Struthio camelus: one gene and its partners. The protein of the gene in region 4 purifies or fractionates together with the protein of the main gene of each other region. This does not show direct contact. Links are inferred from orthologs where the notes say so. Each region holds a gene or a part of one and is shown on either strand. Other genes may lie near its edges. The genes, in order: SUDS3, ARID4B, KDM5A and SIN3B.

What was found.
Region 1: the proteins of SIN3B (region 4) and SUDS3 purify together in Homo sapiens (affinity purification with mass spectrometry; 3 studies listed by BioGRID and IntAct, counting the BioPlex papers as one, with this or other methods). This does not show direct contact. The link is inferred for Struthio camelus from reciprocal best matches to the Homo sapiens genes SIN3B and SUDS3.
Region 2: the proteins of SIN3B (region 4) and ARID4B purify together in Homo sapiens (affinity purification with mass spectrometry; 3 studies listed by BioGRID and IntAct, with this or other methods). This does not show direct contact. The link is inferred for Struthio camelus from reciprocal best matches to the Homo sapiens genes SIN3B and ARID4B.
Region 3: the proteins of SIN3B (region 4) and KDM5A purify together in Homo sapiens (affinity purification with mass spectrometry; 4 studies listed by BioGRID and IntAct, with this or other methods). This does not show direct contact. The link is inferred for Struthio camelus from reciprocal best matches to the Homo sapiens genes SIN3B and KDM5A.

What each region holds. Positions count from the first base shown.
Region 1 is NC_090958.1:7,270,460-7,278,864, reverse strand, and holds the start of SUDS3 (sin3 histone deacetylase corepressor complex component SDS3), read right to left. Parts: upstream 3,167-8,405; 5' UTR 3,095-3,166; coding exon 2,929-3,094; intron 1,778-2,928; coding exon 1,708-1,777; intron 764-1,707; coding exon 708-763; intron 268-707; coding exon 196-267; intron 1-195.
Region 2 is NC_090944.1:89,169,517-89,177,102, forward strand, and holds the start of ARID4B (AT-rich interactive domain-containing protein 4B), read left to right. Parts: upstream 1-4,160; 5' UTR 4,161-4,473; intron 4,474-4,573; exon of another isoform or gene 4,574-4,801; intron 4,802-5,639; 5' UTR 5,640-5,695; coding exon 5,696-5,701; intron 5,702-5,714; coding exon of another isoform or gene 5,715-5,715; exon of another isoform or gene 5,716-5,853; intron 5,854-7,586. Other genes in the region: GGPS1 (geranylgeranyl pyrophosphate synthase), read right to left, coding at 3,093-3,148. UniProt on the Homo sapiens protein: Acts as a transcriptional repressor. May function in the assembly and/or enzymatic activity of the Sin3A corepressor complex or in mediating interactions between the complex and other regulatory complexes.
Region 3 is NC_090942.1:68,941,912-68,949,329, forward strand, and holds the start of KDM5A (lysine-specific demethylase 5A), read right to left. Parts: upstream 3,416-7,418; 5' UTR 3,211-3,415; coding exon 3,043-3,210; intron 1,057-3,042; coding exon 979-1,056; intron 1-978. UniProt on the Homo sapiens protein: Histone demethylase that specifically demethylates 'Lys-4' of histone H3, thereby playing a central role in histone code. Does not demethylate histone H3 'Lys-9', H3 'Lys-27', H3 'Lys-36', H3 'Lys-79' or H4 'Lys-20'.
Region 4 is NC_090967.1:5,365,264-5,372,651, reverse strand, and holds the start of SIN3B (paired amphipathic helix protein Sin3b), read right to left. Parts: upstream 3,116-7,388; 5' UTR 3,080-3,115; coding exon 2,981-3,079; intron 2,631-2,980; coding exon 2,524-2,630; intron 1,943-2,523; coding exon 1,789-1,942; intron 756-1,788; coding exon 492-755; intron 70-491; coding exon 1-69. Other genes in the region: NWD1 (NACHT domain- and WD repeat-containing protein 1), read right to left, coding at 3,830-4,119, 4,870-4,978, 5,694-6,250, 6,621-6,894.

The DNA of each region.
Region 1 (8,405 bases), on a different chromosome or scaffold from region 4:
AAACAAGGCCAGTGAAGAAAAGCACGATAGATTCTGTCATGTTTCATGCGTCCTCAAACAAACAACAAGCTACCCACAAAAAGACAGAAGAATCCTTGGTTCCAAGAAGAACCTATTATTTTTTTTCGGGTCATAGGAAAAGAGGTGCGAAGCACTTCATCTGCAGGCAGCTTCTTAGAAAGAAATGCAGCTTACCTGCATTCCGTATCCTCTCTTTGTACTGCTGGTCCAGTTTTTTCATTCTTTTCTGATATTCCTGAAGAGTACCTAGTTAAAAAGAGATTGTTGATTCCTAGTGAGATTTTATTCTTTCCTCATGTTAAATTCTCAGGTAGCCATAAACTACTTGGAACAACAACACTAATGCTCAAAATCAGGAAACCACAACTCTAGTTTCCCTATCTTGATAAGAATGCTCCTTTCTTTTTTTCTTTTTTTTTTTTCCCCCAAAAAGTACATAGACCACTCATTTTAAAAAACGCTTACTTCAGTACGCAGAGACTTACCTACAAGTGTGTAGTATCAGAAGCGGCTAACACTTTTCAGTGAGGAGAGCATGACCGAGATATGTGGTCAGTGAAGGGCCCTACTTACAGCTTTCAAAACCCTAATCCTTCTACGACCTCTGCAGCTGTTCCCAAATCAATCCTCAGCTTTGAAAAGTGCTGAAAATTCTTTAGAAAAAAGCTACCTCCTACAGAGCTTACCTTCCTGCAATTGCTGTAATTGCCTCTTAAGAGATGCCAGTTTGTCCTGATACATCCTGCAGGGAGAGCACACAAAATTACATAAAAATGAAAAACAAAACAAAGAGTCTATTTCACCATCTGTTTAGGTTATTGCATATATACTGAATTAAAAATTTTCCAGAACTCCAGAAAGCAAAAAACAATATATGAAAAAGTATCATTCAATTTAAAAATCCTACAGCCCCATTAACATTGCAGCACACCCAAATCAATTATTTTGAGAACAGTCATGGTAGAATTATCTTTTGTATGCAGAAATCTAACATGACACCACTTTGTCAGATCTTAATATTTGTGCGTTAGTTCCCTACTTATAACATAGGGGACATTTCCTCAGGTTACAGAGGACTTGAAGTTATAAGCAAGCCTCCCCCAGCACCCACATCAATAAAGCTAAAAGCAAGCCCAAAAGCACCAGGAATAGATTTTGTATTTCCCTTCTCACCTATCTGCAGTTTACCACAGGCTGCGTCTTCGTGACCTGTATACAACCATCTCTCTGCCAGTAAGCAAGACCACAAAGTGCTGCAAATAGACTTAAACTTCAAGAGAAGCTATTTCGAGTGCCCAAAACTCCCATCTTCCTGGACATTGCTGGCATTCTATTCTTAAGGGATTTTAACAGGTAACTTGCTTTTGACTTGGCTTGAATCAAGTAGGTCCATTGTTTTATTTAAAAGAATTTTCTGCCGAGGAATTAATTTGCAGCAAAATTGAGTTGCTCCCTCAACCTGCACCTATTTTGTTGTTCAGAACGGTAGCAGCACTTAGTGCCTTGAACACACATGGAACAGAGAGAGAGTAACTGAGGAAAGAAGAGATAGGTGTATATGGACTCATCAACTATTACACTGGGCAAAGAACTTACAAAAGTCCCTAACTTCAGCCTAAAACTTTGCAAAGTTTTATGCAAAGAAAACTAAGTATTGACTTACTTTTATTAGATTAGGTTACTTACTGTTCTTTCATTTCCACAAAGTCCTCTTCCTCATGTTTTGCCAGGTCAGTTTCACTAGCATCCTCAGTATCTAAAAAAGGTAAAGAATGAGTTGTTGAAACTAAAGTAATATTAAAAAGCAAAAAAAAGTCAAGTCATTTTAAAAAGAACAGGCAATTTAACTTCTCCATTTTACAATTCGACAGGCCTCTGGAAAGACTCATTCAGCAGTGAACTGAACCACCCCATCTGCTTCCTGCAACTGCAATTTGTCCCACATAGATTCACTCGTAGGCTTGCAATGAAGCTTACATCGAGTTTGAACGACTTCAGCTTAAGATACCCTGACAGCTTCTTCCCAATTTAAGACAACAGATTCTACATTAGTGCCCACAAATACAGAGGTGAGATGGTAACACGACCCAAAGACTCTGAAATGCATTTCACAAGAAAAACGCTACTACTAGATGCCATTACGGCTTACAAAGATAATACGTGAAGTTATTTGCTAAGATCTGAACTTGACATCTCTGCTACATATTTCACAGAAGTATTTCACCATTTACACATAGCAAAGACTATCACAATTACATAAACACAGCCCCAGTTTTGCCAACAGATAATTATAAGTAAAATAAACTAACAGGGCACTGTTAGCTTTCTGTTGTTGCCTTTTAAGGTTCCTATTTCTGAGACCAGGTAGCCAAAAATTAATTACCCTTCCTCTTCCAGGGAAAGCCAGTTTCTCCAAGGTAGAGTTGAGATTGACTTAAGGCTACAACTGTAAAGCCTAAACTACAGCTATATTCTCTATAAAGGGGGGAACGGAGGTAATCAGTCCTTTAAATCCAGCCTTTCTCAGATTTTTCTTAAACCATGAACAAATACCTTATGCTTATTTACGTTAAGGTAAAAAACAACACACCAAAGAGAAAGTAAAGTGTTTTAACTCCAAGAAGAACAGTTAAATAGCTAAGTTACCCTAAAGAAAGGGCTCCCATGTTTAATCCGGTCGCGCTGCGAGCAGCGCCCCTGAGCAGTGAGCCGTCACCTTTGTGAGGAGCTGCACGTCGCGCTGCGGCCCCGGTTCCTCCCCGGCAGCGGTGCGGCTGCCAGGGCGACGGGCCCCGCCGAAACCCACCCGCTCCGCGCTCCCCCCGCCCGGGGCTCTCCGCCGGCCCCGCTCTCCCGCCGCCTCCCCAGGCCAAGGGCCCGCAGCGCCCCCCCCCCCCCGCTACCGACCCTCGTCGGAGTCGCGGGCCCGGGCGCTCCGCTCGCCGTCCTCCTCCTCGGCGCTCTCCAGCTCCTCCTCCTCGTAGTACTCGGGGCCGGGGGGCATGGCGCCGGCGGGCGCCCCGGGCGGGGCAGGGGCCGGCGGCGTGGCAGACACCAGCCCGGCCGCGCTCATAGCGACGGGACGCAGCCGCCGCTGCCGCCGCCTCCGCCGGGCGCTCGGCAACGGCGCCAGGCCCCGCACTTCCGCTTCCGGGCTGTCCGCGCCGCTGCCCGAGCGCGGGCCGGCCGCCCGGCGGACGCCGCGGGCACCTAAGGGCGGGGTCCTCGCGGCGGGGCGGGGCGGGAGCGGTTCTCTCGAGGCCGCGGGTTCGAGCCGCGGGTTCGAGCCCCGGCCCCGCCGGGTCCGGGCGCGTCAGCGGGGCGGATCTCCAGCCGTCCTGCTAGCGCTGCCACCGCGGCGGGAGAGCAGCCGGCGCGCCCAGCTCTCTGGCCAGCTCCCGCCTATTGCGGACGTGAACGAGAGCCGGGCTCTTTCTCCAGGGCAGCCTTGCTTCGTGGCGGCCCAGAGCCGCGCAGCTCCAGCGGGCGTTACTGCCCAGCAGCGAGCTGCCCGCAGGCCCCTCAGCAGACACCTCTGCGCCCAGGGCTCTGGGAGCAAAATCTGCGTTTCCCTCTGCCAACGGGAACAGCTCCGCTCTGTGCTTGTGCTAAGGCATAAAAACACACCTTGCGCATACTTATGTGCTGCCTTTGCCAACCAGCAGCGCTTCCCCTTCAAGGGATTTATGGGGGAAAGGGGATTTTGGCAACCAGAGATCAATGTTCTCATTTTTGCCACAATGACCCCATCTATCCCAGTGAAATGCCTCCATCACAAGCCACAGGAGTTGCAATAATGCTTTTGCTCACCAGGTAATCTGGAGTAGGATGTTATAGCGATGGGAAAGGACTTCTGAAGACGCTTCTATACCCTTTCTACTTTTTTTTCCCCAATAAACGATTTCCTTGTTCCTCAACAAACTGCCACCACGGTGCTGTGATCTCACACGCACAAGGTAAAGCAGCTACTTCACATCAATAAATAGCAGCTTTCATAAAACAAAAGGGTCCAGAACCATTATGGACACTTCACAGCTGTCGGATATAGATTATTCTCCTGCCTGTGCACTGCTACAAAGTTAAGGACGAAGATACAGAGGCCACAGTGAGACACGTACGGGCACCATACTAAACACATGATCCCAGGCAGCATGAAAAAGTCTCAAATTGATATTCCCGGCTGTCTCATTTAGCCCTTTTCTGCAAGCGTAAGTCACCGGGGACGAACTGACCAATTAGCTTCACTGCCTCTAGCAGAGCTGTGCTAAATGCTTACCTTGACAGTCACAAGAGACGCTCCTCAAATGCACAACCTATTGACTCATTGAGATACTATAAACATCTAACCAGGAAAAAGGAAATAAAAGATAATAGGTTCTATCCAAAAAAGGATTGAACTCAAAAACACTGCAGTGCCTTTATTTTAAACTAGCCAAACCAGCTTTTCACAAGCCAAGGAGAGTACCAGGTCCTACCTAATCTTTGTTCTGAAAAGAACAGCAATAATGCAATACAATACATGCACTTTGCTTTTCTGCAGGTCATCCTGAAGATCTGTTTGCACTGACTGACAATTTTTAACTTGGAACACCCATGCAAAGTATGCATGACACCATTTTTACATAAGTAAATATTACCTCTTACGGGAGATGATGCTGAGACACAGCTAAAAGTCAATGCTATTTAGAGCAATTTCGTGATCGGAATGTTCTGTTTGAGGGCATTTAACTTGGCACTTTGGAGATCTAAATACTGGAGCTGCTGACCGTCTCTCTGTTGCTCAGTAACACCGGGTGCTGTGGGTTATCAGCATCCTTCTGCTTCTCCCCACTCCACGCAGCAATAGCTGCTAGGACCACATATGGCCACAGGGTGAACAGGAAAGGGTGCGGTGGCTGCTGCCACATCACATGAGCTGACTGAGTCCCCCAGCTGCACCAGAGTGTGCTAATGGGTACTTCCTCTCCCCGGGGACTTGCACCTGGCTTGAGTTGTTTAAATAACTTTCCCAAAGTCATACAGTTGCATCAGAGTTAAAAATAGAACTCATACTGGCTAAAACCCTTTCTCAGAACAAATCAGACCCCACTTAGAGCTTTTCCCCTTTGTAATGAGCTCTTTCACATTTCCTTTCTGAATTTCTTCCGTGTGTCCACACGTTTAGCTCCTCAGCAAGCTTTAACTGCTGCGGATAGCAAATGAGTAAACCAGTTGTAAGAGAACAGCCTGAACCAAGGCTGCCCTTCGAAGGTCAATTTATCCTGTGTTACACTGCATCAGCATTTTCTGATTGTCTGAAGCAGATTTATCCTTGAAGAGAAGCCCATCTTTCACACATCATACAAAGGGCAGGTGCATTTACTAATGTGAGGGCACACAAGAATCCTTTGAACAGTAGCTGTGCATGGTGAATGAGTAAGGAACTGCACGTAGTTGCTGATGCAAAAATTTTTAGCTCATTCTGTGGTTAAAACCAGAATCTCACTTACTGCTTGCTCCCTCCATACTAATTCTTCATGTTTAATATTAGCCTTCTGGAGCCACCCTATACTGTCATCTCTCAGGCATTCAGTGGGAACCCGAGGGAGGAGCTTCAGCTTTAAGGAATGTCACGTTTCCCTTACAAATACAGCAGCTTAACTGTCTACACCCCAAAGAGCTATCAGAGAAAATGTAAACTTCTTTTTCAAGCTATTTTACTTGGCGCATGTTGTCATTAAAGCTGTTGTTCTCATCACAACTCATTTTTTATTTTATACACATGCACATGGTTTGAGGAAAGATTTTTGCATCCTGCTTTGTCAGCTTTGACCATTCACTGAGTAACTGACACCAAAGCCAAGCTCAGTGTGTTTTCCTTTCCATTCGTAAGAACTGGGGAAAAAAGTTACCAAGCTCAGCTTGTAAACAGAGATCATGACAATTCATCTACTGTGCAAATTAGATGACTATACTAGAAAACCTACAATACAGCACCTTGGCCTTTGAAGAACAGAACACGTAACAACACCCTTAGCCTGGAACGTAAAGTTGTTGTACCTTTAGTTTCAAAGGACCACATGACGACGGGCTTAGAAGAAAGCCCAGCAAGAGAATAGCTGCCAGAAACAAAACAGTAGAACACGGCGGTGTGAGGTACTGGTAGAACAGAAACCCGTGGTCCTTCCGTTTTATTTGGCAGAAAAGTACCCCAAAGTCAAAGGATATGCCACCGCGGGACCGTCCAACTGTAAAGAAAGGAGCGTTCGCTGCTAGATGCAGGGGCTGCAGAGAATCGCAGCAGCCAAGCGTGGCAGGAAAAGCGTTATATCGCCTTACCCCGGCTCTCTGCCCTGAGCTCTTCCTAATTCGGGCCTTTCGGCCACTGCTAAAACTCCGCCTCCTCCCTCGAGGCCCGTCCTTCCCCAAGCACATCGCCGCGAGCCGGACCGCCTCCTTTCAGCTCCCCTCCCCTCCCCCCGGGGCGACCTGCCACCGGGCACCGAGGTTGTGTCAGGGCTCCCCCGCCCCGGGCGGCAGGTGCCGACAGACTCGCGGCCGCCCCGTCACGGGCCCCGGCGGCCTCGCAGCCCTAACGGCTCCCGGCCGCTACCAATCGACCGCCGATCCCCCCCCGCCCTGCCCCGCGCGAGCAGGCGGACTGAATCGAGCCCGGCTGGCGCGAGACCAGGACCCGCCCCCAAAGCGTCCCCACGGGGCTGGGCGTGGGCCGCTCAGGTAGCTAAGTCGCGCGCCGTCTCTCGGGAGCTATCGATGGAGCGCCGCGCCCTCGCCTGAGCTTCTGGGCTGCGTAGCCGAGCACCGATATGCTTCCCTCCCCAGCCCCCAGTCCTCCCCGCCCCTGGGCGAGCCTCCGCGGGCAGGCCGCGCAGTCGAGCGCCGAGGCGGCGGCGCGATTGGCCGCGCCTGGCGGGAGGGGGCCGCACCGTCGGGCGGCGGCGGGGCCGTGGCAGGAAGCGGCGGGGACGGGGCGGCAGCCTCCCTCCAGCCCTCCCGGGCGGCGCGGACGTGGCCCGCCGCCGCCGCCACCGGCCTCCCGGCGCCAGGTGAGGGCGGCGGCCGTTGGCACCGGCCGCGTGGCCCGCCCGGTGGCGGGGGGAGGGGGGGCTGCGGCCCTCAGAGGGGCGCGGGAGGCTCCGGCCGCCGCTGGGCGCCGGGGCGCGTGTTGGTACGCGGCGGCCGCGCTCTCCCCGGGGCCGGAGGCGGCTCTGGCGGGAGAGGGGGGGAGCAGCGGCGGTGCCGTGTGCCGGCAGCGCTGTCCCGGCCGGGGCGGGTGACACTTGCCCGTTCAGACCGGTCCGCTCGCGAGCGCGTAACTTGAGCGGCACTCGTGCGGGCTTAGTGGAGCCCGCGGGGAAAGGGGAGCTTCGCTCCCGCCCGCTTTCTGTAAACGGGGTTGAAACTTAAGCACGCTGTCTCGGTTTTAGCGGAAGACGCCCCTGTTCTTTTAATGACGTCCAGAAGTCATTTACGGTAGGTGCTAAGCATAGTCTAGCAGTGGTCTTATTTGTGGAGCGGGGAGAGGGAAGGAGCCACCTGCGTGTTTTGGAAGCAAGTGCTGGGCTCTTAGATCTCTGGTGGTTATATGCCTATATGCGCACGGACACGCACATGCATATGTATACGTGCATAATTGAATTTAGGGCCTCACTTTTCACTTTTCACAGGAAAGTAGGCAGAATTAACTACCTAATCCTATAACTATAACGCTTGTAAAACTTTAGTAGCCGTTGAGTAGCCCTGGTGGCATCCAAGTTTTCCTGTGGTTGCTTACTCAGCCTTGGCAGAGCCGAGCAGCTCAGGGCCGAGTTCGTGCCCAGCCGTTGCTGCTATCTGCAAGCAGGGTGTTTTCCCCCGGTTGCGTTCTAGCAGCCGCGCGCTGGTCTCGTGGGTGCGTGGAGTACGCACCCGTTCTGCACGCGGGCTAGTGGCAGCTGCCATGTTTTCTTAAAAATGGCAAACCAGGTGGTACTGGTACGGCCTCCCTTGCTGCAGAGAAGCCCCACAGGAAAAGAAGCTATGTGAGACCTGTCTTCCTTTCCACTTCCTGTCCAAGAGGGTTTCAGATCACGTTACCCACCTAACAGGATAGTGGCCTAGGCAGGAAGATGTAAGCAGTTCAGTTACGGACGCGGGGACGCTCTTTGCCTCTCCTGTTGAAGCTGTTCCACGGTGCAGGACGTGATTAGACCTTCACGGGGTAAGGGAGCAGCGGGGGACTCGCGCTCCTGGCTGCAGCTTTCAGTGCTTGTGTTTGGGTGAGAATAAATGGCTTCCGATCTGTTCTCCAAGGTCTGCTTACGTTTTTTTGAACGAAACTTTACTAGCAACTACACCACTTAGAGTACTGTAGCTTATTTTGCTAGTGGTCATTAGCATAGTAA
Region 2 (7,586 bases), on a different chromosome or scaffold from region 4:
TCCTCAGCATTTCAGCATCTTTTCCCTTTCAGTGGCAGCTTATTCAGTCCCTGTCTACTCCCATTCCCACCCTCCTGCCCCATAAATATTTGTAGCAGCCCAAACTGGGGAAATAATTCACACGAACAATTATTTTCCAAGTTTACGTCTAGATCAGTTCCTTCATTTGGTTCACTACATGAAACCACACTGCAACTTCAGAGGCAAGAGGCTGTTGAAGCAAGCACAGTTGCCCAAGAAACACTCATAAGACCATGCCGTTTGGGAAAGCTTTGCATAGGTTTTCATCAGCAATGCCACAATAAGTGGTACAGCTCTTCCATCTCATGGTGTACCAGCACAACTGACTGTCAGGCCACACCATAATCTAAGTCAGGCTTAACACAACTCTTTTTGTGTCATCTTATTGGTATAACTGAAGGGACAGGAACTGCTTTTGAGCCAGCACTGCCACTGAGGAAGTCAGCTGTGAAACTGCACCCTCATACCTAAAGGGCAAGCCTCAAACTTCTTCAGTGAGGAAGGACAACCAAAAAGATTATCCCAGTCCATCGTCAGATATTTTGACCAGAAAGAAACTTGTAGCGAAAGACAGAAGGAGGCACTAACCAAGTTAACACATCTCCTATGACTATTATCACCAAAAAGCCACACAGCTGGCTTAGAAGTGGAAGTGTTTAGCTACCCACAGAGCTAAAGAGAGAGATGCTAAGGTTGGAATTTCTTCTCTGTCAAGGCTTCTCATAGCTAGAAAAGCAGTCTACAATGAGCATGCACAGTAAATGCTTTTATGCTTAAATGCATGCTAAGACTGAAGTCTTTCCCAACACAAACTGCTTGAAAGTAAACCTTGAAATTCTTCTTCTTCTTCCCTCAGAGGATGAGAAGGTTTCTTTCTTGTCTGTAGGACAGGCAAACAGCATTCAAGATCCTTAACTAGCTTGAAATAGGCTGGTATTACACCACTAAATCCCCAGCCTTCTAGTGCTAAACTGACAGAAGTCTCCTATATTAGTTTCTGAGACACTGCTTATCCACAGAAAGTTAGCCAGACACTTTTCCCTACAAGGGCCTAGATTTCTTCCTTTTCAAGACAGACATAAGGAAAAACACTTTAAGAGACAAATAATGGTTGGTGACTTAGCTTAAATTACCATAGCTAAGCTTTTCTAGGCTGCTATGCTACCTCTACATGAAATGGTAGATAACCTGTGCTAAGGGAAAAAGCAACAGTCTAATCATTCATAAGAAAACTACTTGTCTAACACACACAGCAAAAAAGAATAGTGACTAGAACTCCCCAAAGTTATATAAGAAAGAGGACACCTGATGAAATATGTAAATGAAGACGCTTAAAGGCTGATCAGCAAGAATATAATGAAGCATGAGAGAAGACGGAGAGCAGTAACATCACTGCTCTTTGCAGAAAATTCCTACATTTAACACACCACAGGAAGTTATTGATATTAAGGATTTTTCACTTAGGCAGCTGATCAACTTACTATAAAAGTTACACTGCTACAAAAAGTCCTCTCATTTAAGAAAATTTGAGACAAGATCTCAGTCAACATCTCCCAAAAAAGTAGAGCTGCAAGAACTTCAACAATAAATGAAAGGGAATATAAAGCCTTTATTGGTGGAAGGGCAATCTTGCATGTAGGTTTATTCAGAAAATTAAGGCAGTTAAGGCAATTTTGCTTAGTTCAGTTTTCTTTCAAACTGTACACACTTCCTGCATGTCAATTAACACAAAGCTTTGAATTTTTTCTAGCAGCTCCATATAAGCATACTGTAGAACAGCTGCTATAGGCACAATCCACGCCGTGACGAGACAGAACCCACAGAACTGTCTTTTGAACTGCAACATACTTTATCTTTAATGATCTCACTGAAAACACACAAGATGCTAGAAAAGAACAGCAGTATGGGCTTCCAGAAGTTGGAACTACTAGAGATAATTACTGAAGCAGTGATCCATAAATAGGAGCTTTCCAAAGGAGGCAAGTAACATTAGACCTATGTTGCACTTACAGTAAATCTTCACTTTTGAACTTCATAAACAGCTTCTCACTCCATCCCTTCCACTCCGCAGGATATTCTCTGCCCTTGTCCTCAGCTCCAATTGGTGAAATAAGCAAGATGACCAAAGTGTTCCAGGCTACATATACACCTAACAGAAAACGGTTCTTTAAAAAAAGCTGCCTCATCTCAAGGGCTCCATTCACAACACAATTGCACAGAAAATAAAACAGAGCCACCAAAGGAGCAGTGAACTGCACTGAAAAAAAACACCCAACCACCCAGAAAGTTCTTAAATCAGCCTCATCACAGAATGAGGTTCACTGGGACACTGGTTTCATTGTAACCAAGGAAAAAAGCCCCAACACAGGGGGAAGTAGGAGCGAGAAAGTCTGTTTCAGAAGGAATAAACAGATACTGTTGTGAATGCACACTGAATTGAAGAGGCTATCAAGGCTCCTAATCCAACTGGGATTTGGACAGGATGCTTGTCATCCTAGCTCACATTCTCATTCTAACTAGAAGAGTTCTTGTTAGAACTTCCTGGACTGATACTGAACAAAACCATATTGCACTTAGAGTAGGCAACATCCCACAGGTTGAACAATGGCTGTAAGGCATCCTCAAAAAAAGCAGCTAAATTACTGTCTTTTCATGGCTGCAATTTAACACTTTAGCCCTGCAACACCAGAACAGCTAGAACATCGTGTTGAAATGGAAACACAATTTCAGCAATATCTCCCGGTACAACTGAGTAACAACGACACAGCAGCAAGAGGAAGAGAACCAGCCTCCTGAAGTCCCCACACTTAAGTGGTGGCAGCATACAGACAGAAAGAGTGCAAGTTATCAGCTGATCCAAACACAGAAAGCAAACCAGCAGAGACCAGAGTCATGCCTACTGCAGAATCGCTTCTCAGATTAAAAGTCGCATTTCGCAAAGAACATGAAGTTGTTACCCTGCTAACAGATGCGTGAACCCTCCCTCCCCCATCATAATCGCAACAAAGGCGGCACGGTTCATTTTTCAGAGTTTGATGCGAGCGCTGTAAACGCAAAGGAGGCTGCAGAACCTCTCCGAAGCGCTCCCACAACCCAGGAGTGGGCAGCTCAGCACCACCAGCGCCATTTTAGATAAGACACGGTCGAGAGCGCGCTGAGGACTCCTCGCTCCCCCTGCCCGCCGTCCATCCCCATTTTCTGATCGGCGCGGCCGGCAGCCCGAGCTCAGTCGCCGGGCAGGGAAGCGCCGCCCGCCTCGGCCGCTCAGGCAGCCCGCGACGCCACCGGCGCCGCCCAACCCGCACGGCGGCCGCAGCCGCCGGCTCCGGCCCCCCTCCCTGCTCACAGCCCCTTCCCGGCCCCTTCCAGGCAACCGGCCAGCCCCTCCTGGGCGGGGCGGCCGCGAGAGCCGCTCCCCTCCCAGCCGGGCTCGCCCTCACCGCCCCGAGCCCCGCTCCAAAGGGGAGTGGGAAGCGCCGGCTCCTCTGACGAGCACAGCCTGCTCTCCTCCCCCCTCCCCCGCCGCCCCACACACCCGGTCACGGGCAGCGAAGCCGCCTCCCACCAGTAACGGTCGGCGAAGGCGGCGCGAGACAGCCGCGGGCGGCCGCTCGCACGCGGCCTCAGCCCCAGCAACCGCCGCTCACCTCCTCTTCGCCGCCAGTCGGAGCCGCACCACGCTCCGCTCCGCTCCCCCGAGCGGCCCGCGCCAGGAGTGGCGCCGGCGGCGGCAGCAGCAGCACCAACGACGCTCGAAGCACCGCCCCCTTCCGCTTCGCCAGGCGCCACCTTCCCCCCTCTTGAGGGAAAATGCGCCACCAGAGCCTCACTGCGCAGGCGCCAGCTCCGCCCCCGGTTTAATTAGCATTCGGCTTCGGCCCCGTCCCCTCACGGCCCCTTCCCGCGGTGCGTCCTGGGATATGTAGTCAGGCTCGTGTGCCAAACCGCTTCTCGAGCCCTGGTGAGCGGCGAGGGAAAGCAGCAGCACCCATAAGTCTTCTCGGTGCCGACTCTCAGTTTCCATAGAACTGGAGAAGAATGACGTCAGTATTTCCGAGGCGGCAGCCAATGGGGCAGAGGGAAGGGAGGGGCTTTGCAGGCTGGAGCCCAATGGAGGAGGCGGGGAGAGGGGCGTGTCCGTCTCCCTCCCGCCCTTCTGTCCGTCCGTCAGTCAGTCGGTGCGGGAGGGGGAGGGGGAACCGAGAGGCTCCGAGCCGAGCAGTCACCGCCGTCGCCGCCGCCGCCGCCACCGCCGAGTCCGAGCCGGACGGATCGACCCCGCCACACGCAGCACGGAGCAGACGCTACCAGAGCCGTTGCCGGAGCGTTGACCGGGGGCCGAGGCCGGGCGAGGGGGGTCCGGAGCTGAGAGGAGGCTTCGCCCCGTTCCCGTCCCTCCCCCCCGCCTCGGGTCAGGGGGAGCAGCGGGCGGGCGGGCGCCGCGGAACAAAGGTAACAGCGACGAGCCGGAGAAAGAGGCGCCGGGCGGCGGCGGCGGCGGGCGCGGGGGGGGGGGGCGCGGGGCCGGGCCGCGGCGGCCGGGCGTGCGTGCGGGGGGGAGGGGGGCGGTTGTTTTTCTCCTCGGAGCGAGACTGCGGCGGGACTCGCCGATCCTCCTTCTCTTCTCTCTCTCTCTCCCCCCAAACACCCGGCGGGGGGGAGGGGGATCGGGTGCCGCCTGCGTGCGGGAGGGACCGGCGGCTCCTCCAGCCCCCTTCGCCTGCCGACAGGGGCCGGAGCCCCCTCCTCCACGCAGAGGCTCCGTGTCCCCGCTGAGCAGGTCGGGCCCCTTTCTCCCCGCCCCCCTCCCTCCCTCCCCGTTCCCACTCCCTTCTTTTCTTCTTCTTCTTCCTTTTCTTCCCCTCCGCCGCGTCCCTCCCCCCCCCCCCGACCCGCTGCGCCGAGCTGGGGAGTTGCGGCTGTTGCTGCTGAAACTCCTGCCGCGGAGTCAGCGCTTTCCTTTATTTTTTTTTTGGGGGGGGGGGGGGGGAAGCCGCCGCGATCCGGAGCCGCAGCCCCTGCAAAAGCGTGAGAGTGGCGGGGGAAGGGGAAAGGTGGGGGGCTGCCCCCGACGACACCCTCCCTGCCCCACGGCGCAGGCAAACACTCCTCTTCCTCGTACAATGGAGGAAGAGCCTCCCTCCTCCCCTGCCGCCCTCCTCCTTCCCCCTCTCCGGCGCCCCGCGGCAAAGCGGGGGGTTGGGGGGGGAAGGAGGCGGGGGGGGGGTTGCCCGGGGCTCGGGCCCCTCCGGCCTCCTGCCGGTGCCCGCGGAGGGGGCGCAGCGCCCCGGGAAGGCAGCCGGGGCCGCCTCCCCCCGCGGCAGCCGGGGAGGCTGGGGGTGGGTTGTTGTTGTGGCAAGTTTCTCCTCCTCTGACAGAAATGGCGTCAATGGCAGCGAGTGTAGGGGAAGCCGCGGCGTGCGGGAGCTGGAGGGGAAGCGGTGGCCGGGGAGGGAGGGGAGCGGGCTAAGCGGGGGGCTCTGGGGGAGGCGAGGGGGAGTTTCGGCAGGAGCCCGGCCTCCCCCCCCCCCTCCCGCCCCGATCCTGGCCTCCCCTCCCCTCCCCCGCCCGGTGCGAGCGGCTGGTGCGGTGCCTCAGTGCTTTGTTTTAAATTCCAGGTCCAGCCTCGGCCGCTCAGCCCCGATCGAGGCTTTTACCGCAGCCTGAGCTCATCATGAAGGTAAAACACTCACTTGTATGTCTGGGAGGGGAGGGGAGGCAAGGTTACGTGAAGAAATGCCGTCCTGGCTGTCAGTCCGTCTGTCCCGACCCCGGTGCGAGGCTCGGCGCTGGTGCGGATCCAGACTGCGGGCTGCTTCGCCCCAATGCTGTGTTAGTGCCTCCGCTCCTTGGCTGCTCGTGGGGCGGGTTTTGCTCCACCACGTTTTGCTGGGGAAAGTGCAAGTTCGCTGAGAGAGGGCTGTTCTCCTTCAGAAACATTGTTTGTAGGAGAATAAGGACATGGCTGCCTGGGCTGAGCTTGCTTCATGGAGGAACAGGGGACAGTCGCCCAGCTTGAGAAAGTAATGTTGCAGGGGAAATGCTGGCCACACAGCCGTGTTTCTCTGAATAGAGGGTAAATGGTAGATTTACTTGCCTTCTCTTCATTAAGAGGAGTTTTGTTGAATGAGTGATCCTGATCTGATCAGGAAGGGAGCATGTAAGAGATTCTCTGCAGCGAAATGATTGCTGTAAGGTGCAAAAAGATTTTCAAACAGGTTTTAATTTTCTTCTCAGTGCCGTGTACTAGTCACATACAAAATTGTCACAAAGTGAGTGCACTTTTCTTCTCTTAGGCCTTTCTGGACCATTGCTTTTTGATACATTGGACAAAGTTTTATAGAAAAAAAAAAATCAGTGGCATAAAATGATTTCTTCTATGTATGGCAAAGAACCATGCACCTAAAAGTAGTTTTTAAGAACTGAGATTATTAGTCCTTTTGTCATTTTGCTGCTGATTTCTCGCTTGAGCTGCTTTTTATATTACCCTGACCCCCAGGTTGTGTAATCCAGATCCTGGCTATGCTGGGCTGCAGTGAATCTTGTTTCAAAATATTATAAACCTTACCAAAAATGATGATTATGAAGCTATGATGCATCAGGTCATTGGTATTCATCAATAAAAAGAGCAGTATGTATGTGGAATCTTGCACTATCAGAGTTGTGCTACTGCATATCAGTTTGTGTATTATGTAAAATATGTACCCTGTACTGTATTCGCTGCTGGAAATGGTAGATGATATAGACTTTTTAATTTCTAGATTGATATGATATTACTAAGAGTAGCAAACTGGGCCTTTGTATAGCTGTTAAAGGTTCAGCCTGTTTTGCTTACTTTGGTGACTTAATGACAATATCTTAGGAAAAACAGTCCTGCTTTAAGTGCCCTTCCTCTGCTTTCTCTCTAGTAAGTGTTAAGATCTAAAATGCTGCACACATCTTTCTCATTAGAAGTAAACTATTTATGAATTTACAAACAACGGACTGTCAATGTAGTATGATACGGAGCTTCTCAGCTGTGGCCCATTGCCTAGCAGGGATGCAGGAGATGGAAGCAAAGGAAATAGGAGGCAGTATATGGAGCTATTTTCCCCCACAAGCAAAACCACTTATTTAAATGACAGCTAAATTTACGTACATTTCTAATATTCTTTTTCCATGTAAACAAATCCTACGGTTACCATAGAGATTAGGTTCTGATTATAGAGACATATAAATATGTAGATAGACAGTTGGGAGGATGAGAAGGTCGGATCACAAGTGGGAATACAAAGTATTCTGTGAAATGGTGATAGAGCCCCTCTCCAGGCTGAACTGAATGTATAACAAATGCTTAAATTTAAAGTAACAAAGAAAGCAGCCTGTTAACACAGCCAGACTTTAACAAAAGCTCCCAGCGCATTTATTCTTTGATGGGTTTGTGATACTATTGCGTTTTTATTTATTGATTTATTTATTTTTTTTTTAAACCTGGATAAATTCTGCCAGTGCAATTCTGCCAGTCTGTAATTTTTGCAATATGTTTGTGTTGAGCGTTAAACTCGAATATGGTTGAGGTAGCTCCA
Region 3 (7,418 bases), on a different chromosome or scaffold from region 4:
ACAAGTTCCTCGAATAGTTTATATTTTTGAAATGTAACCTGTAAAGTGATGCTTTTCCTAGCTGTGTTAAAAAAATAATAATAAAAAGTCAGATCTTTATAAACAGAATACTATATATGTTTTTGCTCTCCACAGTCAAGATCCAAATTCCCACCTAGCAATTTCTCTTTTTGAAGATAAAACACATAGATAAGAAGAATCAGCATTCCAAGGAGAAAAACAAGAGCAATTATTGAAACAGAAGTACAAGGTTAAAAAAAAGTTATAAAGAATTTTCCTGTATGCCTTAACACTGCACAAGAGTCTCCTCCCTTGAGTATTTTTGCAATATGCAAAATTCCATAAGGGCACCCATTTACAAGCCAAATAATATATGATGTTTTGGTATATGAACAGAGCAAGCCTTTGAGAAATGTTGCAGGGAAAGGAAAAACCAGGACAGACTAGGGACTTGCACGGTTTTCAATAAAGCTCCCACGCATTTTTGAAACTTAAAATTAATTAATTGTAACTAGACCTATAAAAAAAACACTTCATTTTAAGGCTTAAGAGGCATTATCAAGGTATATAAGCATAAAGTAACCAGAGGCTTAAGAACAGCAGTAAGTATTCTAGGAAGACAAATACATATACACACACACATATTTTTTTTTCCTCAATCCCTGTGGAGTTTTGAAGGCTAGACACTGGCTGCTCTTACTATACAATATGGTATTTGGCATCCATTTTAGAGATTTCCAGTTGAATGTGAAAAACTCTTGTGGTTATTTTGGGTAATAAAATAAAAGCCAGACTTTTCTCAAAGCCATGGAGAGTTATTTCACCCAAACGTTGCCAGTGCCAAGTATAAACACTGATGTGGTCTATGGGTTTCTAAAGTCTCCCCATTCATAAACTTGCCAAGATGCAAACCACGAGCAAGGAGACCTACTGGTTTCAGTGCAAATACAAAATTAAATCGACAGTGGAAAAGCTCACCTCCAGCTCATTCAGGCGCTGGATTCGTGGAGTGAAACGAAAGCTTTGTACTTCACATGCAAATGGAGGCTGCCAGTCCTAAACAGAGACAGGAAGACTTTTTAGTGCTTCAAGAAACTTCTGAAGAGCGCACAGAGATAGTAACCCTAATACCCTAATAACTTCTGAGCAAACAAGTTTCCAACAGTAAATGAGTTTCTCAGTACAATTTGCATTACGATTTTCCAGTTTCATGACATTATAATGCTTTTAACATAATGTTCTTCCCATAATATTTAAGTTAGAAGAAAGAGAAACTCATAAAATTAAAAATATAAATGAAATATGGTTTAAAGCATTTCTGCGTATACTGTTTTATACCATGTTTGAATATGAGATGCCCTGTAGGTTGGTTGTTTCTTAAAAAAAGTTCTATATATCCAGCACACCGCAAAATCTCACTATCAACAGTGACAGCCACCAAATAAAATACCTTATTATGTGTCTAACTTTATTCATGTTTGTCTAGAGTCATATTTCAATAAAGATAGGAAGACCAGTTGGTAGTCTAACCCTTTAACACAAACACAGTCTCAAATAATGACTTTCTTAACCTGATCAGCAGTCGTTCAACCAGAAGTACCTCTCAGCGCCATCTCTCAAAACTGTGTTAGGACATCAAAATAAACACAATTCAGCTCTTCAGTACTTTCTAAAGACACCTTAAAGCACTTTAGATAGCCTATCTGACAGAAAGTACAATGGTGTAAGGACGCAACGTTCCAGATGGACAAGACAGGCTAAATATTTATTATCTGTATTGCTACAACATGTAAAGCCCCAAGCAAGATCATAAAATATTTATAGCTCCTACTGATGGAAAAGGATAACGAATCAGTAAGATTAGTATAAAGTGTCCGATGTAGTCCTTATTGCAGGTTGCAAATCAACCTGACCCCTGCGTCCTGCAAAACACTGCAATACAAACAGCTAAACCATCATGGAGAAATATAAATGTGCTTGACTGCTAAGAAAGTTCTAGTTATTCTCAATGAATAGGATCTGGATCAGTTTCTTGTGGCCTCTCAGTCTAAGCCATTCTGCTTATTTTAGAAAGGGCAGCCCCTCAGAGGTCAAGTTTTCACTATGTCATTAAACCAACTAAACAGATTCCAGCAACCCAAACAGATTAGGAGGAAAGGAAGGATCATGAAATCTAATCAGCAACTCCTGTATGCAGGATGTTCTCAATTACATTTTCTCTTTTGAGGTTCTTCTTTCTTCCTGGGCATTTTTAACTCTCTTACATTATGGCTGCATTTAAGGTTTATTTGGGCATTAATTTTAAAGACTGTAAGAACCTTTCTCTAAGCTGCTTGATGTTCTTGTCCAAATGGTTTACCAGGTCACAGGCCAAGTCATCATAAAATAATGATCTGATCATCCATCAGGTCACCAGAAACACTAAGCTTCTACTTTCTAAGCTGCTAGACATAAACATAATTCCTGGGCACAAACAGGTTGGCAGCAGTTCTATTAATAGCTACAAGATTATGTTTATAAATAAAGATCCGTTAAAAAGGAAAATCCTTCCCACCCACATCCCCTAAGCAGCAAACTCTTCGTTTCACCTACAATGCCTTTATAGGTTTCAGAAACGTGACAGTGGGTGCGTGTGTTGTTGTTTGTTTGTTCTTTTTAAGTAAGAAGAGCATGAAGCCCAGGACATCGCCATGCACTACTAGCTTCTCACCTGCTCCAAAGCAGCCTCTACCAAAGCCATCCCTGAGGTCAAAGACCGTACAGGTACGGCATGCCCCTGGCAGGGACACCAAGGCCTACACCAAAGGCGACACACATAAACCCCAAGCAGCCCGAGGAAGGGACAAGAAACAGCTCTGAACCTGCCCCAGCTGCCTTGAGCCCCCGCAAGCTCGGCCGAAAAGCGCCGGGAGGGGGGGGAAGGGTCCCTCCGGGCCCGCTCTGACCCCTAAGCACACGGCGAGGACGAGGGCGAGGCCGCGGACACCCCCCCCGCACACACCCAGGCGCAGCCCCACCGCCCCGGCCGCGGGCGGGCGGTACCTTGGGGGGCCGGATCTTGCAGATGCCGGTTTTCTCGGCCAAGCCGCGGATGCGGCCGATGAAGCCGAGGGGGTCGCTGAACTCCTCCCAGCTGGGCTCGAACACGGGGCACTCGGGCGGCGGCACGAACTCGGCCGCGTAGCGCGACCCACCGCCGCCCCCCGACATGGCGGCGGCCGGAGGGCGCCGAGGGCCGCGGCGGGCAGGGGACGGCAGGGCAGGGCAGGGCAGGGCAGGACGGTGCGGCCGGGCAGGGGCCGCTCGGGGGCACCTCAGGGGCGGCCGGCAGGGCTGGGCCGGTGGCCGAGGCGCATCCTCCGGCGACGGCGGCAGCTGCCGGGCAGGACGGCCGGGGCGGGCGGGCGGCGGTTGGCGCCGGCGGCGGTTGCCGTGCGCCGTGTCGTGCCCCGTCCCCCGGGGCCGCCTTCCCCCCTCGGAGCCGCTCTCGCTCTCGTTCCAGCTCCCCGGAAGTTACGCGGCGGTGTATGAGCCCTCCCCCGGAAACGGAGAGATGGTCGTCTTCCGATCGAGAAAGTAGTCCCCTCCGCCACGGCAAGGCGGCCCGCCGCGCGGACGGACCCGTCGCCCCCCGGCCCTGCCGCTGCCCGAGCGACGACGGCCGCAGATCGGGGAGCTGCGCTGCTCCACTCGCGCCCCCTCACGGCACCCTACGGCGCGGCCCCGGTGGGGGGGGAGGGGCCGCATCGCCTTCCGCCGCGGAGGAATGTGCGGCGAAACTCGAGCCATTCACTTCCGGTGCTGAAGGGCCATTTCCCCCATTGTCTGCGCTGGACGTCAGGGGAAGCGCCGGGAGCTCCGCCCCCTGCCACGCGGCCCCGCCCAGAGCGGCCGTTGGGCCCCGCCCAGAGCGGCCGTTGGGCGGCCCCCGTCGTTCTCGCTGACGCCATGCGGAGGCCCCGGTCAGGGAAAAGGGGAACCAACCTGCTAATTAAGTACCGGCCGTGCCACAGGAGGGTGTTTCCTTCGGAAGCTTACGTTGCATCGTTAGACAGTGTTTGTTTTGAGTGGGTTTTTTTTCTTCCAGGTTTTTGTTGCGGTTCTTCAGGAAAGAATTCCCACCGTGATTTTCATTTTTGGGGCTCTGGGTCAGCTGTGCCCGAGGTCTGTGCTGCTGGTGAAGCCGGGAGAGCGTTTCGTGGGTCCTAGGCCATGTCCCAGCACGTTCACGTCCTGCAGCGTTGACGATGCGGAAAGGAAATGTTGAATTCTTTTGGCAAAGGGCAAAGCGTGTCAGTGACCACAAGAGCCAGCTGCCCTGATCCGCCCTGTTTTGGCCAGCCTTGAGTTCAATTTCGATTAACTGATTTTAAGACTGGTTAATGCACATTTTTCTTCACCGCTGTACCAATTCAAGCCAGGCTGTCTCCTTGCTTCTTGATTAAGATCTGAGAAAGCTGGCCAACAATAAATGACAGCGTTTTCTGAAGAATTCCACAATCAACCCCCAAGTTCTGTATTATGTATAGGCATTTTGCACCCTCTCATCCCAGTAAAGAAATGTCAACGTTTCCAAAGTCAAGTACTCACAAGTTAGGACTTGCTTGCATTTAGGGTAAGCTACCTAATTAACCTATCCGTTATGACACAGTCTTTTAAAAAAAAGTTACTTTTTAAAGTTACTTTTTTTTAAACCATAATGCTGGCCTCATTTACTGTTTACTATATTCCACAGTTCAATTTATTCTGTTTATTACATAGTCCCAAGCTTGTTTTGATATACCATTTCAGTCTCAGCCTAGAAAAAGTAATTTCCTCTTCCTCTTGCCGTGAGGTTTACAGTATCTGCTTCACAAAGATTAATACATCTATCAGCGCCATTTCCCTGCTAGATTGAAGAGGTGTTGTGTGTATTTTATATATGGGAAACACATGGTTTCAGTGCAAATGTTTAATTTTGGCAAAATTTACGGGCAACAGCAAATTGATCTTACAAAGTGTTGACCAAGTTTGCTAATAGTTGCTGAGTTGTTGCGCTATTATATTTTGCCTAGGGTTCTTGACAAGGATGCCCAATGTTTTTATGAGTGGAAAAGCATGTGGAATGCAGATGTTTCCTTACCACATATCTAGAAATTACCCTATATTCCTACATATTCCTGCCAAATTTTTGTAATCTTTCCTTCTGAAGAGCTATACAGACACTTTTGGCAAAATGTCTGCGTATAGAGAAACCACTCTCATTCTCAACAGCCGAATAGCCAGCATATCCAATTTCCAAGATAAGCAGTGATTTAGCCGGAAGTCCTAGGGAAAAAAAAATCTATGCTAAGAAGGACCTAATCCATGCAAAACTTTTGTTTTGAGAACCAGTTGATTTTCTTCAAGACTGTTCAAGGTTGTTTTGTTTTTGTGTTAAGATGTTTGGGCTAGTGAAGAGTTCTGGGACAGGTGCAGCTTTTTCCCGACAGACTGAAGAGCTAAAAATCCCTAATAACCTGGAAGGGGCATTTGTTTCATTGTATCAGTTTTGCAGGCTCTCCTCATTGTATCAGTTTTGCAGGCTCTCCTTTTTGCAACAAAATTTTATGCTTCTCTCAAGTTACCTGCTCCAGACTGGGGATTGTTAGCCTCCAAAACATTGAACCATGCTACGATTTCTGTACCCCATGTTAATCTTTATTTTTTCTTGGTCATCTGGAACTATGTATCACTTCCCTACTGCGGGAAGACTTCAACCCCTTATACAATGTTCTCAAGCTGCTTCATATGAACTGGAGAAAAGAGGTAGTGTAACAAAGGAAAATAACAGCTATTATTATGGACTTTATCTAGAAAATTAACTACCCTCCCCTTTCCCTTTTCTGTGTTTATTGAGAAAACTGATTTGAAAAAGAACTTTACAGTTTTGTAAGTAAGCCTTGGGTTTTTTTTTGTTTTTGTTTTTGTTTTTTTTGGTAATACAAAATGTCCAATTTTTCAAGGGAAAGGTTAGGAAAAAAGCTGTTTTACTCATTTGTAGGGTTTTTTTCCCTGCATACTTTGTAACTACATTAGCAAACACTGTGTTGCATATTGAATATGTTGTAAGAATACTAAGCACCGCTGGGTTTGGGAAGACACATGAGGGGGATGAAGAAAGTAAAAAATACTTAGATAATCTAAAAAATAATTTAGATATTCAGCCACAATTTGAACTAAGCATTTATTGTAGCTGCATCATAACTCTGGTGTTTCATTTAGTTTATTTTCCAAGAAAAATGGCATATCTGTTTTTTTGCCGTTGCTTATGAGAAGGGTTTCCATCGCAGGCTGCGTTTATTTTACCCAGAGACCTAAACCTCACTGTCATGCAGATCAGTTCACTAAGTGTTCCTCTGCCAACTAAGAAGTCCTCCAGTAATCTATATCCTGAGGTGATGTTCTGCCAGGGGAACATTCACTATCTGAGGAATCTGTCTCTGGAGAAATGACAGTGGCATTATTTGTAGACCAAAACCAAAAGCTGTAACTTCAGAAAAGTAGCAGTCGATTATTTTAAAGGTTCTGAGAAGCACGTTCCAGTATTTCCAGAGACCTGACACTGAGAAAACGTTAAAACACAGGGTAGCATGTTGAAGTATATTGAGATACACAATTTTTCTGTTCACTACTGGGCATCCCAAACCAGATGCTCAATATGCCAGCCCTGAGAGGCAGCGGGAGGGATGAGAAATCCCCACAGACGGCAGAAATGCAGCACATTTCAGTCAGGTAGAGACACCATAACGCCACGGCGAGCCACGCGCCCCCGCAAGGCCACCCGGCCCACGCCACCCGCGCACGCGCAGTGCCGCCACCGCAGGCCGCGGAGTTCCCCCCCAGAACTACAACTCCCAGACGCGCCGGCGCGGATCGGTGCCGCCCGTGTCGCCAGCGCTGATTGGTAGAGGCGGTGGGGTGGCATGGAAGGCTGCCTGTGGTTGGAGGGGGCCGCGGGCGGCAGGTTGCCTCGGTGTTTAAGTTGTGGACGGTTGGTTGTGTCGGTTGTTTTGTCGTTGGGGCCGTTGCTGCGCGGAGCGGGGCCGCGCGTAGGTGCGCGCTGCTAGCGTCAGCCTCCCGGCGGTTGTCCCTGGCTTGTTTGGCGCCGGACTCCCGAGAGCCTTTATCCCGCGGAGCGACGCTTCCCGGGAGCGACGGGCACGGCCCGGCTGAGTGGCTGCGCCCGTCCGGGCCTCTAACCGCGGGGTCGCCGGCCCTTCCGCCAGGGAGCCATGAGCGCGACGGACCGCTCGCCGGGGGCCTCCCCTCCCCGCAGAAGGTAGCGTGGGAACTGTGTCCCGCTCCGCTGCCGCCGTAGTTACTCCGCTCCTAAACCACCCTCGCGGGTCCGGTCCTGCCGCCGACCACTGCGCGTAGTTGAGCTCTTTCCTTTCTGC
Region 4 (7,388 bases):
TACTTCGGTAAACACTTCTTCCTCTGACATGCCTCGAAAGGGTCGGCCTTTAGTGTTCAGCTGTTCTTTCTGAAAGATACACACAGATGTTCAATAGCTATAAAAACATACCTCATTATGCAAGAAAATTTCTTAACTCCATAGCAGCCAGCAGCCAAAACCAAAGACCCTAAGCAATATGAACAAACTTTACATAACATCAGCTAGCCCAAGGTTCTTATAGTGCATCCTATCACACAGAACATCATTAAATCAACTGAAAGTTAGTAAAGACAGATCTAGATACAATCATTTTATGCCTCAGAGCCCAGAAAGTTCAGCAATTTTCACACATTTGTCATTTCATGTGAATATCTACGAGGCAATTGTTGGACAAAGGCCAGCGCTTGGGAACTGTGCAAGCTTGTTCAATAGACAGATGTTTCATTTGACCACACTGTTCAAACAACTACAGTGCAAACCCACAGGCTTTTATATGGAAGACTTTTTACCTGGTAAGTATGAAGAATTTCTAAAAAGGATCTGTAAATTTCTGGATGGTCAAGGAAACGTGTTTTGATCTTATTCACATAACTGATGGCATTATTGAATTCTACAGAATCAGACTCCAAAGGAATTTGGGATTTATCTTCTTTGTATGGAAGCTGTTGCCTAAACTCCTCCGAACAATCACTATGGTTGTGCGAATTCTCCTGAGAGTAATGCAACAACAGCCCGCTGCCAGGGAGAGTGCTGGGAACAGGCTCTGAGGGCACCTAGTGGCACAAGATATGCAAGACAGTGACTTGTAAAGAAACACAGGTGCAAGTTCAACAATTTAGCATCAGTATTTTAGAGCAGTTTAGCTAAAAAAAGATTAACGCATAAAGGAGAAACAAAATAGATTTAATGTAGCCAATAAATTTCCTTATTTATGTCATTAACATCATCAGGTAAAAACGTCCCATAAGCCATATCTGGCTTACGAACTATCTGATTCATTAATGCTTCTGTCGCTACATTATCCACTACGCTTGAAACGGTAGAGAAGCCACGAATGTACCAAATAATCTGCACTGCAGCTTCTATTGCCACCGTTTTATTTCTGAAGAACTGTCAGTTCTAAGAAACATATTACAACACAGGGCCCCTTAAAGGTGCTAAATTTATGAGCAACAGAGGGATCTAAGAGAACTGAGATCTAAAAGAGATTTACTGCTACTAATTAGAGTTAAACCATTTGTTTGTAAGTAGGATTGAGGTGATAGCTCTATTTCAGATTCCACAACCACACAGGAAAAAGGGAAGCCAAGACCAATATGTATCTATTTATATTACAGCAGATGTCTTTCTTTGCAGGATTTGAACAACTGGATGACAACACCTGACTTTTTTTTTTTTGCCTATTGCCTAAACATATTTCTCATTTTCTTACTAAAAGACTGGAAATACGATTCTTCCGGGATTTTTTTTTTTCAAATTTGACATTATACGCTATGCACTGAGAACATATGTCAACATGTCAAGCCAGTGACAGTTTCAGTTTTCAAATTTAACTGAAGCATTTGGATTTGCAGTGGCAATTCATTCGGGAATTTCATTCCTAGTTTAGCAAGCTAAAGTAACAACTAGTTTGAGAATAAATATTTAGATTTATACTAAACCCATCCTCATAGACTTTGAAAACCACATAAAAACCTTAGATGTACACGTATTGCATGTTGCTTTGTAGCCTAAACTATGCAAGAGACCTATATAGGGATACATATACCACAATTCAGTTAGAGTAATATAAGTGCTTTAACCTACCTGACTAGTCAGTGGTGACTGTATACTTAACTTCCCATTCTTTGGAATTTCTATTCTGTAGCCCAAAGGGAGGAAAGCATTGAATCCTACAATGAGGTCGGGATGCTCATGGAACAGCTGTGAAACACGCCTGATTACTCCAGGGGTGTCAATGCTAGAAATGAGAGGAGTTTGTTACTTGCATCCAAACCAAATATACAAGTTAAACCCAGAAAATTACAGAGGTATGTCAAATGTCTGGTTCCTTAGAGATGCAATTTTTAACAAGAAAGTTTGGGATCCTCAGACCTAGAGATCAGCCCAAACAGAGGGAATGACTGCCATGCTCTGCAGCCTCCCACTGGAAACAAAACGTTCTCCACAGAGCAGAGACATGAGTGTGCAGGTTACCCAAAACAGACACGACAGCCATCGCCTCTAGGGCTGGCAGGTCACAGAGGGGCTCTGCGCTCAAGCTCCTTGTCCAGATCTGCGTTTCAGAGTGGGCAGTAAAAACAGATTTGCTTTTCCCTGTGCGTTTTGGCTCTAGGAAAGGATGGAGCAGACGATGCTGGGATGGATGGAGACCCTCCATCTCCCGAGTGTCTAGCTGACCGCGCTACAGGGGGACAGGACCAGCACGGTGGCCTGTGTGGCTGAGGAGGCGGAAGGCCGGCGTGAAGGCTGGGGGGACCCCGCAGGGCCGAGGGGCCCCCGCACAGGTCGAGGGGCCCCGCGGGGGGGCCCAGGCGTTACCTCTGGCTCTTGAACTCCTTCATGATCTCTAGGAAGCCGTTGTAGGTGGCGGGGTCGCTGCCGAAGCGTATCTTCACCTGGTCCAGGTAGGAGAGCGCATCCTCCACCTGCGGGGAGCAGACGCGGGTGAGACCCGACGGGACGGGGGAGGGCCGGGACCCAGGGCGCCCCGCGGCACCGGGGAGGGGGGGGGCACAGGCCCCGGGGCGCCCCACGGTCCCGGGAAAAGGGGGGCAAGGGCGCCCCACGGCGCCGGCGGGGGGGGAGGCGCCGGGACACCCCGCGGCACCGGCGGGGGGCAGGCCCCGGGGGCGGGTTCGGCCCTGCCGACGGGGCGGGGCAGGTCACGGCGGGGCGGGCAGGGCCTTCCCGGAGGGTCGAGGGCGGCGGGGAGCGGCCCTGCGGGCGAAGGGGGGAGGGGAGGTAAACGGCGACGGTCGCGGGGCGCCGCACTCACGTGAACCGGCAGCTTCTCCTGCGCCGCGGCCCGGCCGCCGCCGCCGCCGCCCCAGCGCGGGGCGCTGCCCCCCCGGCCGCCGCCGCCCCCCGCCGCCATGTTGGGAGTCGGGCAGCGGGCAGGAGCGCCCCCCTCCCCCCCCCCCGTCAGCGCGTGCGGAGCGCCTTGCGTCAGCGCGCACGGCGCCGCCGGGCCCGCCCGCCCGCCCGCGCTGCACGGAGCGGGGCGGCGCGGAACGCCGAGGCGCAGCCCGGCGCGGCTCGGAACCTTCGCGGCCGCCGTCGGCGCGGCCCGGGGAGCGTCGGCGCGCGGCACCGCTTCCGGCCGTTCAACCGTCATGGCGGGAGGCGCGCGGCTGAGGCGGCCGCTCGGCGGCCCCGACCCCGGTGAGCGGTGCGGTCGGGGCGGGTCACCGGAGGTGTGGGGCGGCGGCGGCGGTGTCCGGAGCTCCCGGTGTACCGGGAAGCGGTGCTGCTCGCAGGGGAGGAGGGAGGTTGAGCGCGGGCAGGCCTCGGTGCCGAGCGCCCGCTGGCAACTTCTGCTGATCCGTCGTTCGGCCGCCCTTCGCGGTAGAAGCCGAGTCCTGGTTTCGGCTTTGGTGTAGCTGGATGAAACGTGATTTTTTTGCTTACTTACCTGTGTTACGTGATTATCGCTGTGGTGCGTGACAGCTGTTGGACGATGCCAAGATATCAGAAGACTCTGAATAACCACAGTAAGGGAATTTTCAGCGGCATTTAATGTTGTAATTCTAAAACACTAAGGCAAAAGAATATAGCAGATGGAAAGAGAAACCTGTAGGCTCTACCCTGGATGCTTATGATGCCTAATCCTTGTCATCTTTGCTGTTTATATCACTGAGCAGATTTGAGAGAGCTTGTTGGTACGAATCAGGTTCCCAGAAGAGCTTCTTTGGTTATATTGTTGCTTGCTCAAGTTTCCCCCTTCTTTCTTTCTGGATTTTACTGTACACGTTGCCGTGATGTTCTGGAGGGGGTTATACTGAGGAGATGCGTTCTGAGGACAGTGAAACCGCTCGTGAATGATATAGCCGAGTTGTGTTGTTGCAACAAACCCATCTGCAGTTGGTACCATTCTGCTAGCAGTTGTGTATATGCACTGTGCGGCTAGTAAGGCACCTACAGAAAGCGAGGGCAGAATACAGGAAAGGACTTGCTGTGTGGTAGGAGACCACTTAAAACATGTCACTATCTTCACATGGTCCCTTGTCACCAGGCAGTTTGGATTCAGTGAAATTAGGTCACTGATGTTAAATGAAGAGGGAGGAGGAGGAGGGGGGAATAATGAGCCATATTATTTATTCTCCTTAGAACATTATTGATGTTTTACTTCGCAGAAACTTACGGAGATGTTAGCTTGCTTTGCCATAAAATTTGATGCTGGTATTTAAACCCAGAATGCTTTCCCCTTCTGTGTGCTCGAATGCTTACTACTGAAGTTCTGTAACTGCAGCTTCTTGTCACAATTATGATATACTACTTCTGGCTTCAATAATGTTCTACTTTCAGTTCTGGTAATCGTGTGGGATACATGTTCCCTATTGCAGTTTCTTATTGCAATGATACAAGTTAGGGAATCCAGGCAGGTAGTTGTAGGATACTTGTAGGGACCTAGAAAAGGGAAGCTTAGCGCATGTTCTGAAGTAACTGTAGCCTAATAAAGTCACCTTTGTTCATCAGCAGACTTCTTTGGCCAAGATATTTGGCTGTTTTCTGCTCTAATACTCAACCAAATGAGTATCTGTGCACCAGCTGTTGCTGTATGGCATGTTTCCCTTCTTACAACATAAAGAATGGTATAAGCCTGTTTAAATACAGGGAGTAGTAGATACTTGTTTCTCATAATTGCTGGAATTCAAAATTACTCACCACTTGCAACATCCCAGACTGTAATGGACTGATCCAATGCTCCAGTGTACAAGTATTTATCATCTTTTGAGAAGCAAGCACAGCGAATGCCTTTCAGGAGGGACGCAGGCTAAAAAATGGATGATGGTTAGGATTAGATTGTTATACTGATAAACATAGGTTGAGATGAAGAAGCCTTAGAGCATTCAGCAGTTATTCAGTCCTTAAGAGCAGGGGTGAAAGTATAACTAAATAAAGGTTTTTACAAGGCAGAGCAGTCCTGGAAGGAGGGTGGGAAACGTCCTTAGGCCCTTAGCTTGTGAAGCACCCTGTAGCTGTGCAGAAGAAAGCCTAATATGATCACACAAAAACCCATTTTTCCACCTGTGGAAAGGAGTAGTTTGGACTCAACCATGGTATATTGTCAGGTGAAAGATTAACAGAATACATTCAGCATTCTTCACTGCTTTTGTTTTACTGAATTCCCCTGAGCTGGCCCTATTTACACCTTCTGTTGCTTAAACAAAGCAAATGACCAACAATAAGATCTAAAAAAATAACTCCTATGACTTATGTTTGAGTGTCAGAATGGTATTAACAGCACGCATTTACTTTGACAGCATTTTTGGACCTGGATACCTTAACAGTGCATCTAGATTATACGGCTGCTTTAAAATCAGACCTAAATTGCTAAAAAGAGGTTGCTGCTTGTCAGTTGGAACAGCTCTGTACAGGATTTGGGTATTCTCTTTAAGAGCTGGGATTCCTGTGAACTGAATCCTCTGTGATAGCTTACGGCAGTAATTGACCATAGACACTGTCTTCCCTCTCTGTCAGTGAAGTACCTTATAATAGTGCATCTCATGTTCCTGCTGACAAAACTCCAAGTCCCAGAGATGTTGCAGAGAATCTTCAGATCTGCTGAGCGCCCACTGCTCTCCATGGCTGCTTTCCAAACAGGAGATCTGGCTTCTGTGAGCTTCCAAAGGAAATACTGCGGATTGAGGGCAGTCATAAAGGAATAAGTCCCCGCTAGTCATGCCGTAGAGGACTCTGTAATCTGCGAGGACAGCCACACTGGAAACCAGAGAGCCAGGGATCTGGGTATAAAAGGTGTAGGTGGGCCTGGTGATCACTGGGCATGGATCTGCAGGGATAATATCCAGCACAAGGACTAAATCGTCATATGCTATGGCCAGCTGCTTTTCTCTCTTGTTGACTGCGATATCATTGACTGGTTTCTGTGACTCTGGAGGTGGGATGCATGCTACATCCTGCCTGGAATTCAGTGGAAAGATAAGGACTGTTCCAGACACAAGCCCAGTGAAAAGGAGCTGGTTTTGCTCAGCTATTTCCAGGCATCTCACTTGGGCAGAGGTGTCCAGTGTGTCACACACTGCACCTGTAAAAAGAGAAGGAAATCAGCAAGACTGTTCTTATTGCACCTGCATGTGAATGTCCCATCAGGTGGGGTTCAGGATGGCTCCTTGTTTGTGAAGTTATTTGTATATTATTCGTATTTCAGATTTTTCCCTTGTCAAAATAATAAGCTATTCTAGACAGAAACTTTGGAGAGGAGAATAAGAAGCTTTCGAAGCCTGAATCCTGTTCTTTTGAATCTCATGCTTAGGAAAAGCAGAAAGGAGCAGACTGTCTTTGTCACACATGCTCAGAAACTAACTCTGCCTTCACTGCTTCCACCAATTGCTCTGTTTCTCTCCTACCCCATATGCAGGCTTAATTTTCCACGGTGTTTCTGAGATGCAGTTCACCTTCTGTGGTGTCCCAGATGATGACTTTATGTCTCTCTTCAGGCTGGGTAAAATAGACATAGTTCCCACCATGCGACAGTGCAGTGCAGCCTGTCTCTGGGACAGGTGCCTGGGTTTTCTGCTGCTGATCGTAAATGAGGTTCCACACTTTTAGATATGGTGCGCTGGAGGAGGCAGAGACCAAAGTGCAGTCATACAGGGCTAAGAGGGTTGCTGGTGCCCCCATGCCATCCAGCCTGTCGGTCCGCAAACCCTGGTCTGTTAGACTCCACACCTGGAAAAAATTGGAGGGAGAAGTCAGGACCTGAGCGACTGTTTTTTCTCTAGCCTTATTTAAGAGGTGAAACAACAGATCTTCACTGACTTGTACAGAAGCATAAGTAAAGTCACATGATGATAACCTACTCCTAATCTAGAAAACAGGATATTGAGCAACTACCAATACAAAGTTACTCTTAAACAAATATTTAAAGTATCTGGAGCTATTCACTTGCTGCCTTTGCTCTGGAAGATCCCTAATTAGATCCTGCATTTTTGGGGCTGTACTGGGTATTTACCTCTTTCTCTGAAAAGAGGTGGTTCTCCAGATGTTATATATTCCATGTCTGCCTTTCAGACTGGTAACAAGGCAGCTTTTAGGAGATCAAATTTAAAATATTTTAGAAATAAAATTGTATTTCAGGTCCTGGGTATACACTGGCTTAAGGCTGGCTCTCTGAATTGATAACATGCTCTCCATTCAGTGCCAAAAATAGAGAGAGAGCAGAG